Arabidopsis thaliana: one gene and its partner. The protein of the gene in region 1 interacts with the protein of each later gene in a pairwise test. Each region holds a gene or a part of one and is shown in the gene's direction. Other genes may lie near its edges.

Evidence for each region. The genes of interacting proteins can lie anywhere in the genome.
Region 2: the proteins of YSL3 (region 1) and AAP8 interact in a protein complementation assay, tested with the Arabidopsis thaliana proteins (one large-scale study listed by BioGRID).

The regions. Positions count from the first base shown.
Region 1 is NC_003076.8:21,753,587-21,759,461, forward strand, and holds YSL3 (YELLOW STRIPE like 3), read left to right. Parts: upstream 1-1,664; 5' UTR 1,665-2,139; exon of another isoform or gene 2,140-2,237; 5' UTR 2,238-2,317; intron 2,318-2,406; exon of another isoform or gene 2,407-2,431; 5' UTR 2,432-2,494; coding exon 2,495-2,867; exon of another isoform or gene 2,868-2,962; coding exon 2,963-3,138; intron 3,139-3,372; coding exon 3,373-3,470; intron 3,471-3,559; coding exon 3,560-3,694; intron 3,695-3,778; coding exon 3,779-3,968; intron 3,969-4,056; coding exon 4,057-4,174; intron 4,175-4,252; coding exon 4,253-5,190; 3' UTR 5,191-5,347; downstream 5,348-5,875. UniProt on the Arabidopsis thaliana protein: May be involved in the lateral transport of nicotianamine-chelated metals in the vasculature.
Region 2 is NC_003070.9:3,264,270-3,269,338, forward strand, and holds AAP8 (amino acid permease 8), read left to right. Parts: upstream 1-1,616; 5' UTR 1,617-1,703; coding exon 1,704-2,028; intron 2,029-2,709; coding exon 2,710-2,803; intron 2,804-2,917; coding exon 2,918-3,132; intron 3,133-3,230; coding exon 3,231-3,373; intron 3,374-3,611; coding exon 3,612-3,839; intron 3,840-4,031; coding exon 4,032-4,457; 3' UTR 4,458-4,554; downstream 4,555-5,069. Other genes in the region: AT1G10000 (Ribonuclease H-like superfamily protein), read right to left, coding at 1-519. UniProt on the Arabidopsis thaliana protein: Amino acid-proton symporter. Stereospecific transporter with a broad specificity for glutamate, aspartate and neutral and acidic amino acids.

The DNA.
Region 1 (5,875 bases):
GAATGCATGGAAGAAGTGAATTACATATTTTTAAAAAAAATATAGGAAAAGAAAAGTAAAGTTCGTACAAAAGAGAGTAGTATTATTCTCTTTTTCTTCTCCATAGGGCCTCGTAATATCTACTTAGCATACGAGGACACATTAATATTCGATCATGTATATATATGCCTACGACTACGAGACATTCGAAAGTTATTGTCTAGTGGTTTGTATTCACACAATTTCCGTGTTAACAGTTTTAGTTCCATTTCCTTCATATAGAGATCTAAATGATACTACTACATATCATTTAGTTTAAGGAAGGACGATGTAAGAAAATAAAAATCTAATATACGAGAGAATTGTAACACGTTCACTTCATAACTAGCTAGCTAGTGGTACTTACCAGTTACTACCCCAACTCTAGTCAACACTACATTAAATACTATAATGTGAACAAAATTATTTTGAACCAACGGCTGTTACAGTAGTTTATTCAACTTTATCAACCAATGCATTAAATTGAACATATTTCTGGCCGATTGAAATAGGTTGGGAACGATCTTATAAAATTCAGTCTTAAACAAGTCTTGGTTTTCAAAAATGCAAATTCATTCGTATGTTCTTGGCAAAAAATGGTTTAATTGGTTTGATCTGATCTTATCCTATCACGCAGGATTGGTGTAATATAACGCACCAAATTCGGCCAGGAAACGTCCGAATATAATAGTCCAATTCTACTTATGAATTTGACGTGTTGACGTAAAGAATCAAAAGTCGAACTTATTGAATAATTTATTCGACTTTAATTTTCTTTTGGGGTTTTGGTATGTTTGTGACCACATGGTATGGAGTTGACATTTACCATTTTCTTGATTGACTACCTAAGAAAATTTTAATTATTATTCACATTATGGAGAGTTATGTTTCCATATTTTGGCTTTAATATTAATCATGTGGTCAATAAAATAAAGAGGATAGTTATGGCATAAGATTGTCCATAATGTCATCATCTTGTTTAGTAAAAGACAGTCACATGAACCGGAATCTCGGTTTACCAAACTTTTCACTTTTTCAGTTTCACATGAATGTCACCAGATTCATTGAGTTAAACATGTATTTTAATACTATAAAAGGTTAATTAGTTATGATATCATATTTATGACTTTTAAAAGACTTTTGATATTGTAATCTGTAACTAGTTATAAGTTAACCATCTCTTATAATTAGAACAAAAAAAAACTTAATTATGGATGAACTGATTTTAATGGAAAAAATATTTAGAAATAGAAATACATTCATAATTTATATCTAAGTCTAACCAAAACACAAATCTAAAGTTACGAATAAATCATTTCAAGTGTAATTTTACTAACTATTTGACTCCTAATCTTATTTCATCACCTAAACTCCTAATTGTTATATATTTATGAGAGATAATGACATTTGTTCCTCTACATACTAATCTAATGGTTGAATAGTCATGTGTTTGACAAACTTATAAAGTTTGATTTTTCGTATGTGACATTTAGTTATACATCCATAAATTATATAACTTTCTTAGTGAGATATATGAAGGTTATATATGTGGAGTATATTCTTAATAATTAATTGTTACCCTACTTTTTTTCTTTTCGGTGACGTAACTTTTATAAAGTTTAACCCCTTAATGATTATTGTACTACATAAACCCCAAAACTCTTTTCTCTTTTCTTTTTTCTTTGTGTAGTACTGATATCAAGTCAACGTGCGGTACATAAGAACCCAAGATCCCATAAATAAATTCTTCTTGGTTTTAAGCTTTCTTCTTCATCTCTACTTCTCTATATAACTTTGAGTAGTCTCACCAAAGTCCATTTTTAAAAAATCAACTATACCATTTTTAGCTATTCTTTGGTCTTCGTTTCGTGTAAGCATTCAATGTTTTTTTTCTTTTATCTCTTTGGGAAACGGGAGTGTGGTCTTCGTGTGTGTGTCCCTGTTTCATTAACCAGTTACGTTTCATTCTCTTCTTTTCTTACGTTTACTACAGATTTCAGAAAGAAAAAAAAGTGTTTGAAGCAAAAGAGATTAATGGCAGATTCTTGAGTCATTAACTTTTTTCTAATTCTTTTAATTAGATCTCTGAACATAAGAGATAACTTGCGTCATTATTCTATGGTTATAAAGATTATGCACTTGATTAAAATAATCTCTAGTTTTCCTTTTTCTCATTTGCTAAGCAACTGTTTCTTTTTCTTCTTCTTCTTCTTCTTCAGATAATTATGCTTGGGAGTGGAAAGCAAGAAAAATTCTAAACTTTATATAAAATTCCCAGAATCAATTGATCCAAAAAGAGGTACCATTTTTTTCCTCTCGTCATTTTCCATAAAAGTAAGCTTTTGATTGATATTTAATTATTAAAAGAATCTGTCTTTTGGGTTTTTGTTTTGACAAATTTTTGTTTTTTCAGTATTGTCAAAAAAGATAATCAAGAAGAAGAAACTCTGTTTTTTTGTTCTGTTCTTGGAAAAAAATGAGGAGTATGATGATGGAGAGAGAGGGAAGGAATGAGATAGAAAGAGAAGTAATAGATGACTTGGAAGAGACGCAAAACGAAGGAGATGATTTCAAGTCAATACCTCCATGGAAGGAACAAATCACTTTCAGAGGAATTGTTGCAAGTTTAATCATTGGTATAATCTACAGTGTGATCGTGATGAAACTAAACCTAACAACAGGTTTGGTCCCAAACCTAAATGTCTCTGCAGCACTTTTAGCCTTTGTCTTCCTTAGAAGCTGGACCAAGCTGTTGACCAAAGCCGGGATTGTGACTAAACCGTTCACTAAACAAGAGAACACTGTTGTCCAAACATGTGCTGTTGCTTGTTACAGCATTGCAGTTGGAGGTTCAGTGAATTTTGACCAGTTGTTTTGACTGTTTGATCAGTTTTTGTTTGGGGTTGGATCATTGTTTTGAGCTATGTGTTTGTGTGATTTGCAGGTGGGTTTGGTTCATACCTTCTTGGTTTGAACAGAATTACTTATGAACAGTCAGGAGGAACTCACACTGATGGGAATTATCCGGAAGGCACGAAAGAGCCTGGAATCGGTTGGATGACCGCTTTCTTGTTCTTTACTTGCTTTGTTGGTCTTTTAGCATTGGTTCCTCTAAGAAAGGTAGAGATTATTTAAGATTCTGTCTCATTGAATTTGTAGTTAGAGATGTTGCGGTAGGCCAAAGTTTGCGGGTCAGTCCGGCCCATATAAGTGTGATATGGGCCTGGCCAAACCCGCTATAGCCAACATAGGACGGAGATTAATATTGGCCAAGTTTGGACTATTAATCCCCTGTTGGCTGGTTTGGGTCTACATTGCTAAGTGTTCATTATGCTTCTTTTTTTGGTTAACCAGATCATGATCATAGACTACAAGCTGACATATCCAAGTGGAACAGCTACCGCGGTTTTGATCAACGGTTTCCACACTCCTAAAGGCAATAAAATGGCCAAGTATTAACTCGATTTTTTGGCAGTCTCTTAGCTCTCTTTCACCACTAATTCTAGAGTTTTTGATTTAAATAAAATCTGTTTATATGCAGGAAACAAGTGTTTGGGTTTGTGAAGTACTTCTCATTTAGCTTCATTTGGGCTTTCTTCCAATGGTTCTTCTCTGGTGGTACAGAGTGCGGTTTCATTCAGTTTCCAACTTTCGGGTTAGAAGCTTTGAAGAACACGTGAGTATTATTCTTAGTTCTATTGACTGTTTATATATCAACAGATAGAAACAGAATCTTGATGATCTTGAAAAAACTTGACAGATTCTACTTCGACTTTAGCATGACATACGTTGGAGCAGGAATGATCTGTCCCCATATTGTCAATATATCTTTGCTTTTTGGCGCGGTTCTGTCTTGGGGAATCATGTGGCCACTCATTAAAGGTCTTAAAGGAGATTGGTTCCCATCAACTCTTCCTGAAAACAGCATGAAGAGTCTCAATGGTTACAAGGTTCCATACAAAAAACACTAGTACTCTACAATAAACTCCGCCCTTTCTTTCGCGTACTTTCGTTCTTAATTTGTTCATAACTCTTTAGGTGTTTATATCAATCTCATTGATCCTCGGAGACGGGCTTTACCAATTCATCAAGATACTTTTTAAGACAGGAATAAACATGTACGTCAAGTTAAACAATCGCAACTCTGGGAAATCTAGTAAGTATACACCAAAAAAACTATAGAAAAATCGTCATTTCAATAATGTATTATCTGATGTTCAAACGTAAATCGCAGATTCGGAGAAAGATAAGCAATCTATTGCAGATCTTAAAAGAGATGAGATCTTTGTAAGAGACAGCATTCCATTATGGGTTGCAGCAGTAGGATACGCAGCGTTCTCTGTTGTCTCGATCATCGCGATCCCTATAATGTTCCCCGAGCTGAAATGGTACTTCATAGTCGTAGCTTACATGTTAGCTCCATCGTTAGGTTTCAGTAACGCTTATGGAGCAGGGCTAACAGATATGAACATGGCTTATAACTATGGTAAAGTCGCTCTGTTTATCTTAGCCGCTATGGCAGGGAAACAAAATGGTGTAGTCGCGGGACTTGTCGGATGCGGGTTGATAAAATCGATTGTATCGATTTCTTCTGACCTAATGCACGATTTCAAGACAGGACATTTGACTCTGACTTCACCTAGGTCGATGCTTGTGAGTCAAGCGATCGGTACAGCGATCGGATGCGTTGTGGCGCCTCTAACTTTCTTCTTGTTTTATAAAGCTTTCGATGTCGGGAACCAGGAGGGAGAGTACAAAGCTCCTTACGCTTTGGTATACAGAAACATGGCAATTCTTGGAGTTGAAGGTTTCTCTGCTTTGCCTCAACATTGTTTACAGCTTTGTTACGGGTTTTTCGCATTCGCGGTGGCGGCAAATCTCGTTAGGGATAGGTTACCGGATAAGATAGGGAATTGGGTTCCATTACCGATGGCAATGGCGGTTCCGTTTCTTGTTGGAGGGTACTTTGCTATTGATATGTGTGTGGGAAGTTTGATTGTGTTTGCTTGGAATATGAGAGATCGAGTTAAAGCCGGTTTAATGGTACCGGCGGTTGCTTCCGGTTTGATATGTGGAGATGGTCTATGGATTTTGCCGTCGTCGGTTCTTGCTTTGGCCGGCGTTAGACCTCCTATATGTATGGGCTTCATGCCGAGTAAATATTCGAGTTAAAGATAGCTTTTTACGAGTTTTTACTTTTTTGTGTAGCGACAAAAAAATTAGCTAAAGAATTGTGGAAACAAAAAAAACAGTTTATATAGGAATTGTACTTTGTAAGTTTGTATACACAATAAAGTAATAAACTAGTCTCTCAATTCTATTTAAAAATCCATGTCCCAAGTAACTTCTCCCCAAAAAGAAACTCAATATTTTAGAATAAGGTCAAATGGAATTAAATTCCAGAAGATATTTGCCAAAATAGTGATAAAAATACGGTTAAATTGGTATATGTTTTTACTGACAAAAGGCAAGATTCTTCTATTTTAAGATTTATTTCTTTCTTTGAAATCTGCTAAACGTTGTTAGATCACACTTTATGTGTCTGTTTTTTTTTTTGTCAATTCAGCACACGTCATATTTGTATTTTTCAAAGTACCAAACGTGGACCAAAATAAAATCTCGTCAAAAATGGAAACCAAATTTTAATTTGATTTGCACAAAGCCCAATTTGATTTGTTTAAAGTCAAAGCCCAACTTGACCAAAACTACCCCTGCTCATCCAAACCCTAAGCAAAATATCGAGGGTAGTTTCGTATTTTGTTTATATTGAACACAATTAAGTAGGTGAGGAACCTCTATTTCTTCCGTCTTCTGCTGATTTCTGAGCTTCGGAGCTATCGAAAATTCTGAATCTGAA
Region 2 (5,069 bases), on another chromosome or scaffold:
GGAGCTCTGTTGTTGCCAAGCCGCATCCACGTAGCAGAGAAAATCATGAGTCAGAGTTGTTGTGGAGTTTGGGCGGGGGGTCGCTACACGAACTTTTGGGAGCGCCAATTGGGCGGATTGCCACGCTAAGGCATCCTGAACCGCCTTTGTAACAGTCTCTATCACAGAGAAATGAGAATTTTGGAAGATAAGCTGATTTCTGGCTTTCCAGATGTGCCAACAGATCCAGGGGAAGAGGGTTGCTGTATGAATCCCAACCGGGGGGAGAACGATGGTTTTCTTAAGTAAGTTAAGAGCTTCCAAAATAGGGGTACCGATAGGGATGTGACCCAATTGGAGGGGCGCTAGGTTCCAAACTTGTGCCGCAAAATCACAGTGAAACAGCATGTGGGTGGAAGTCTCCGGAGCCCCACAGCGTGCACAATCCCAAGTTGATGATATATGCCTTCTTACGAGTTGTGCACCCACAGGGAGAGCTCCTGCAGCCGCCTTCCATAGGAAAAGTTTGATCTTCGGCATAGTGTGGAGTTTCCAAAGGTTTGCTTGCCAGTTAAAGCGGACCTGAGCTGTTGGTAGCACTGTCAAGGATGTTACCCCGTAACCTGATCTTGAGGTATACTCTCCAGATTTTACCGGTAACCAGACCAATTTATCCACACCCCTACTTGAGGGCACAGGGAGCTGTCTGATGAGCTGTTCATAGTCAGGTAGGAGGTCAACGTACCGTACTTTAATGGTGTAATATGCGACATTTATTATGTGTCATTTTAGATATCTGATTCTGTCTCGACAATTGGGATGGGCATTTTATGGATATAGTTAGAATGGGATTTTATTCGAAGGAATATTTTGTGGATATATTTTAAAATAATCCACTAAAAAATCAGGTTTATGTTGGTCAAAATCCATATTTAATACGACAAAATACAACATTGAATTCATTAATTGTGCACAAATTACGGATTGTGAGATAAGACTATAAGAGTGAAAGAAACGATAAGAAGTAATGAAGACTCAAAATCGTACATAATTGAAATTAGTGAAATTTATGGTTTGGTTTACATGTTTTTGTAAACCGTTAAAATAGTAGTAAAATATAATACAAACATGTAAATCCACATAATTTTGTATTTGATGCGATACTAATAACAAAATGTTGTAGATATATCATAATATTTAGTTGATACAACAATATATATATATAGATTCACATCAATACATCATTATAACTCAATGTTAATGATTTAATTTCCCGATTAATGAATCATGTGCATGTGAGGATTTGAGAAGATAAATGAGCAAGATAGAAGAGAGGATATAGCTATGCAAGAGGCCAAGATCTGAAGGAAATATCTCTCTGTTTTACTCATCTAATTTTAATCAGTTACCTAATTTCGATTATTCGTAGTGTCGTTAATGTAGGTAAATCCTCTTTTCAACATGCGGACCAATTTTTGTTTCCGGAATAAGCAATAGTGGTTACACATTCAAAATCAAAGTCAAAAGAAATAAATCCTCGTAATAGAAGATTCTCTTAATAAATAAGATTCAACGTACAAAGATGCTCTTTCCATATAAACATCGATATTTGTGTATATAATACATGTAAGTACGTGATTGTGAGGGAGTACTCTAATAAGACGACCTCTGTCAATAACTCTCTTCCCCTCTCTTCTCTCCTCTGGTTCAGTGGTTCTCTCACAATGATGGACGCATACAACAATCCCTCGGCGGTGGAGTCGGGTGACGCCGCCGTGAAAAGCGTCGACGACGATGGTCGAGAGAAGAGAACGGGAACATTTTGGACGGCGAGTGCGCACATAATCACGGCGGTCATAGGCTCAGGGGTGCTGTCGTTGGCTTGGGCTATAGCACAGCTTGGTTGGGTGGCAGGAACCACAGTTTTGGTCGCTTTCGCCATCATTACTTACTACACGTCCACCTTGCTCGCCGACTGTTACCGTTCGCCGGACTCCATCACCGGAACACGCAACTATAATTACATGGGCGTCGTCCGATCTTACCTTGGTATGGATTCATATAAACAAATTCATTTTGTGTCTTTATCAGCATTGTTTTTCACAGATTTTTCAGTTTTCTAGACATTTTTTCTCAGATGAACAAGGATTTTGTTCATTTGATATCATTTAGATTTTGCCTAACTAGTCTCAATTTAGGACATGTGTTTTGATTTTCTTCCATTTCTGTCACAATGATGATGGCTGGCGAAAGAAAAAAAATCTGATCTAAAAATATATATTTAATGCTAAGTTGGAATTTGTAAATCTACAGTATAATTGGCTCATTTCAACAATTTTTTACCATGTAAATTTGTTGAAGAACATTATTGTTGTTGAACAATGAAAGAAAAAAATATGGTTGTTAGAAAAAAATGATTTACGATTTTGCCAAGTGTGCATGCTCTTTCATGGGAAGATATGAATTAATTATCAAAATCTATATAAAAAAAAGGAAGATAATCTTCATTCTTTCATAACTTAGTTAATAAATTAAATTGATTAGGATTGGTAACATAGTCAATTCAATTTATCCCGTTAAAGAATGTTATAAATTCGATTGTTGACCCCTCGTTGAAAATTTGGAATTATGCGGGATGTTTAGAAACTTTGCCATAAGACCAAAAGATTGGTAGTATTTGATAGTAGTACAAGAGTAATCATTTTTCTTCTTTAATAACATAAAACGCAGGTGGTAAAAAGGTTCAGCTATGTGGAGTGGCACAGTACGTGAATCTCGTAGGGGTCACTATTGGTTACACCATCACTGCCTCCATAAGCTTAGTGTAAGTCAAAGATTCTGATTTATTTCGATTATTTTGTTATGGTTATACTAACATGTTGTTCTGAATAAAATTACTAATAATTGTTTGATTGGTGTTTTTGTACGTCTTCGTTAGAGCGATTGGGAAATCAAATTGTTATCATGACAAGGGACATAAAGCGAAATGTTCTGTATCGAATTATCCATACATGGCGGCATTTGGGATCGTCCAGATCATTCTGAGCCAGCTTCCTAACTTCCACAAGCTCTCTTTCCTATCCATCATCGCCGCGGTTATGTCCTTCTCTTATGCGTCTATCGGAATAGGCCTAGCCATCGCTACTGTAGCAAGTACATTCCCCTTCTTTATCTTAAAACATAGTGGTTTATATGGATGATTCTTCAAAGTTGACACTAACCGTGAAAATGGTATACAATATATATGAAAGGTGGGAAGATTGGTAAGACAGAATTGACAGGGACAGTGATAGGTGTGGACGTAACTGCGTCTGAAAAAGTTTGGAAATTGTTTCAAGCGATTGGAGACATTGCCTTTTCATACGCTTTTACCACTATTCTCATCGAGATTCAGGCATGTACTACTGATTCCTACTATCTTCCGTTTACTATTGTTTTCATTTGCTTGTTATTATTAATTTCGCCAAAGAGAGGTAAAATAAGAATACCTTGAAGATAAGATGTTATTATTAATTAGACAGTTAGGAAAAAATATAGATGGATGGATGATGGATAAAAATAGTTTCATATTTTAGATATGTGAAGCTCTAAAGATAGTGACGCTCTAGTAGTATGTCTTGTTTATTTTGCAGGACACATTGAGATCAAGCCCACCAGAGAACAAAGTGATGAAACGAGCAAGTCTTGTCGGAGTCTCAACCACAACTGTTTTCTACATCTTGTGTGGTTGCATCGGATATGCTGCGTTCGGCAACCAAGCCCCTGGTGACTTCCTTACCGATTTTGGTTTTTACGAACCTTATTGGCTCATCGACTTTGCCAATGCTTGCATTGCTCTCCATCTAATAGGTGCCTATCAGGTATAACTCACAAACAAAAGAATAGGATAAGTGTGTAACATACATTTACCGTGTTCAAGTTCATTAAAAGTCTCATTATTGTGTTAGAATTTTTAGCTTTAACAATTCAGAAGATTGTAGAAATGGAGTTATTACTAAATATTGTTTCTAAAAAATGCTCTTTTTTTTTTTTTATCCCTGTATTATTCGCAGGTGTATGCGCAGCCGTTTTTCCAGTTTGTTGAGGAAAACTGCAACAAAAAATGGCCTCAAAGCAATTTCATCAACAAAGAATACTCGTCAAAGGTTCCTTTGCTTGGAAAATGTCGTGTCAACCTCTTCAGACTGGTTTGGAGGACATGCTATGTTGTTTTGACAACATTTGTAGCAATGATATTCCCCTTCTTCAATGCGATCTTGGGTTTGCTAGGGGCATTCGCGTTCTGGCCACTCACAGTTTATTTTCCGGTGGCAATGCACATTGCGCAGGCTAAAGTCAAGAAGTATTCTCGTAGATGGTTGGCCTTGAACCTCCTCGTATTGGTTTGCTTGATCGTCTCGGCCCTTGCCGCCGTAGGATCCATCATTGGCTTAATTAATAGTGTCAAGTCATACAAGCCCTTCAAGAATTTAGACTAGTGTGACTTATAATCTATGTTTGCCAAAAAAAAACCTTGTGATCCATATGAATTATATGAAATTTATTTCATGCTAAATATTTAGTACTTAATGTTTCTCCAAATAATGTGACGTTCTGTTTTCAGCTATGTTAAAAACCAAAATGCTAACTTATGTATTAGTACTAAAATTTATGAAAATGTATTAGTTATTGATTTATTTTTAGGACTACAATTATTGAATCAACATTGGATGTTTGAGTCCCATGAGATATGGATTTCAGCTTTTTTCAAATTCGTGTGGTTGTGTCAATTTCGAGTTATTATTATTTATTTTGCTTAATGGAATTGTCGGGGAAATCTTGAAAACAGACACTCACAGATTGTGTAATTTATTTGGTTTGGTGTGTCCTACATAAGTTGCTATCACATCTTATGTATTGGAGGAGTTGGGCAATAGAGGATCAAGGCAAGTTTGGTTTTCTATTAACGTTTCTACTCTGCATTTGCTTACAAAGTCATTTTCAAGGTTTTGTGGTCGTATGTCACTTGATGGCTACCATCATAACCGCCATGTAACCAAACAATTGCCTTGCGGTTACCTACCCATATGGCGCATCTAACCAAGAGATGC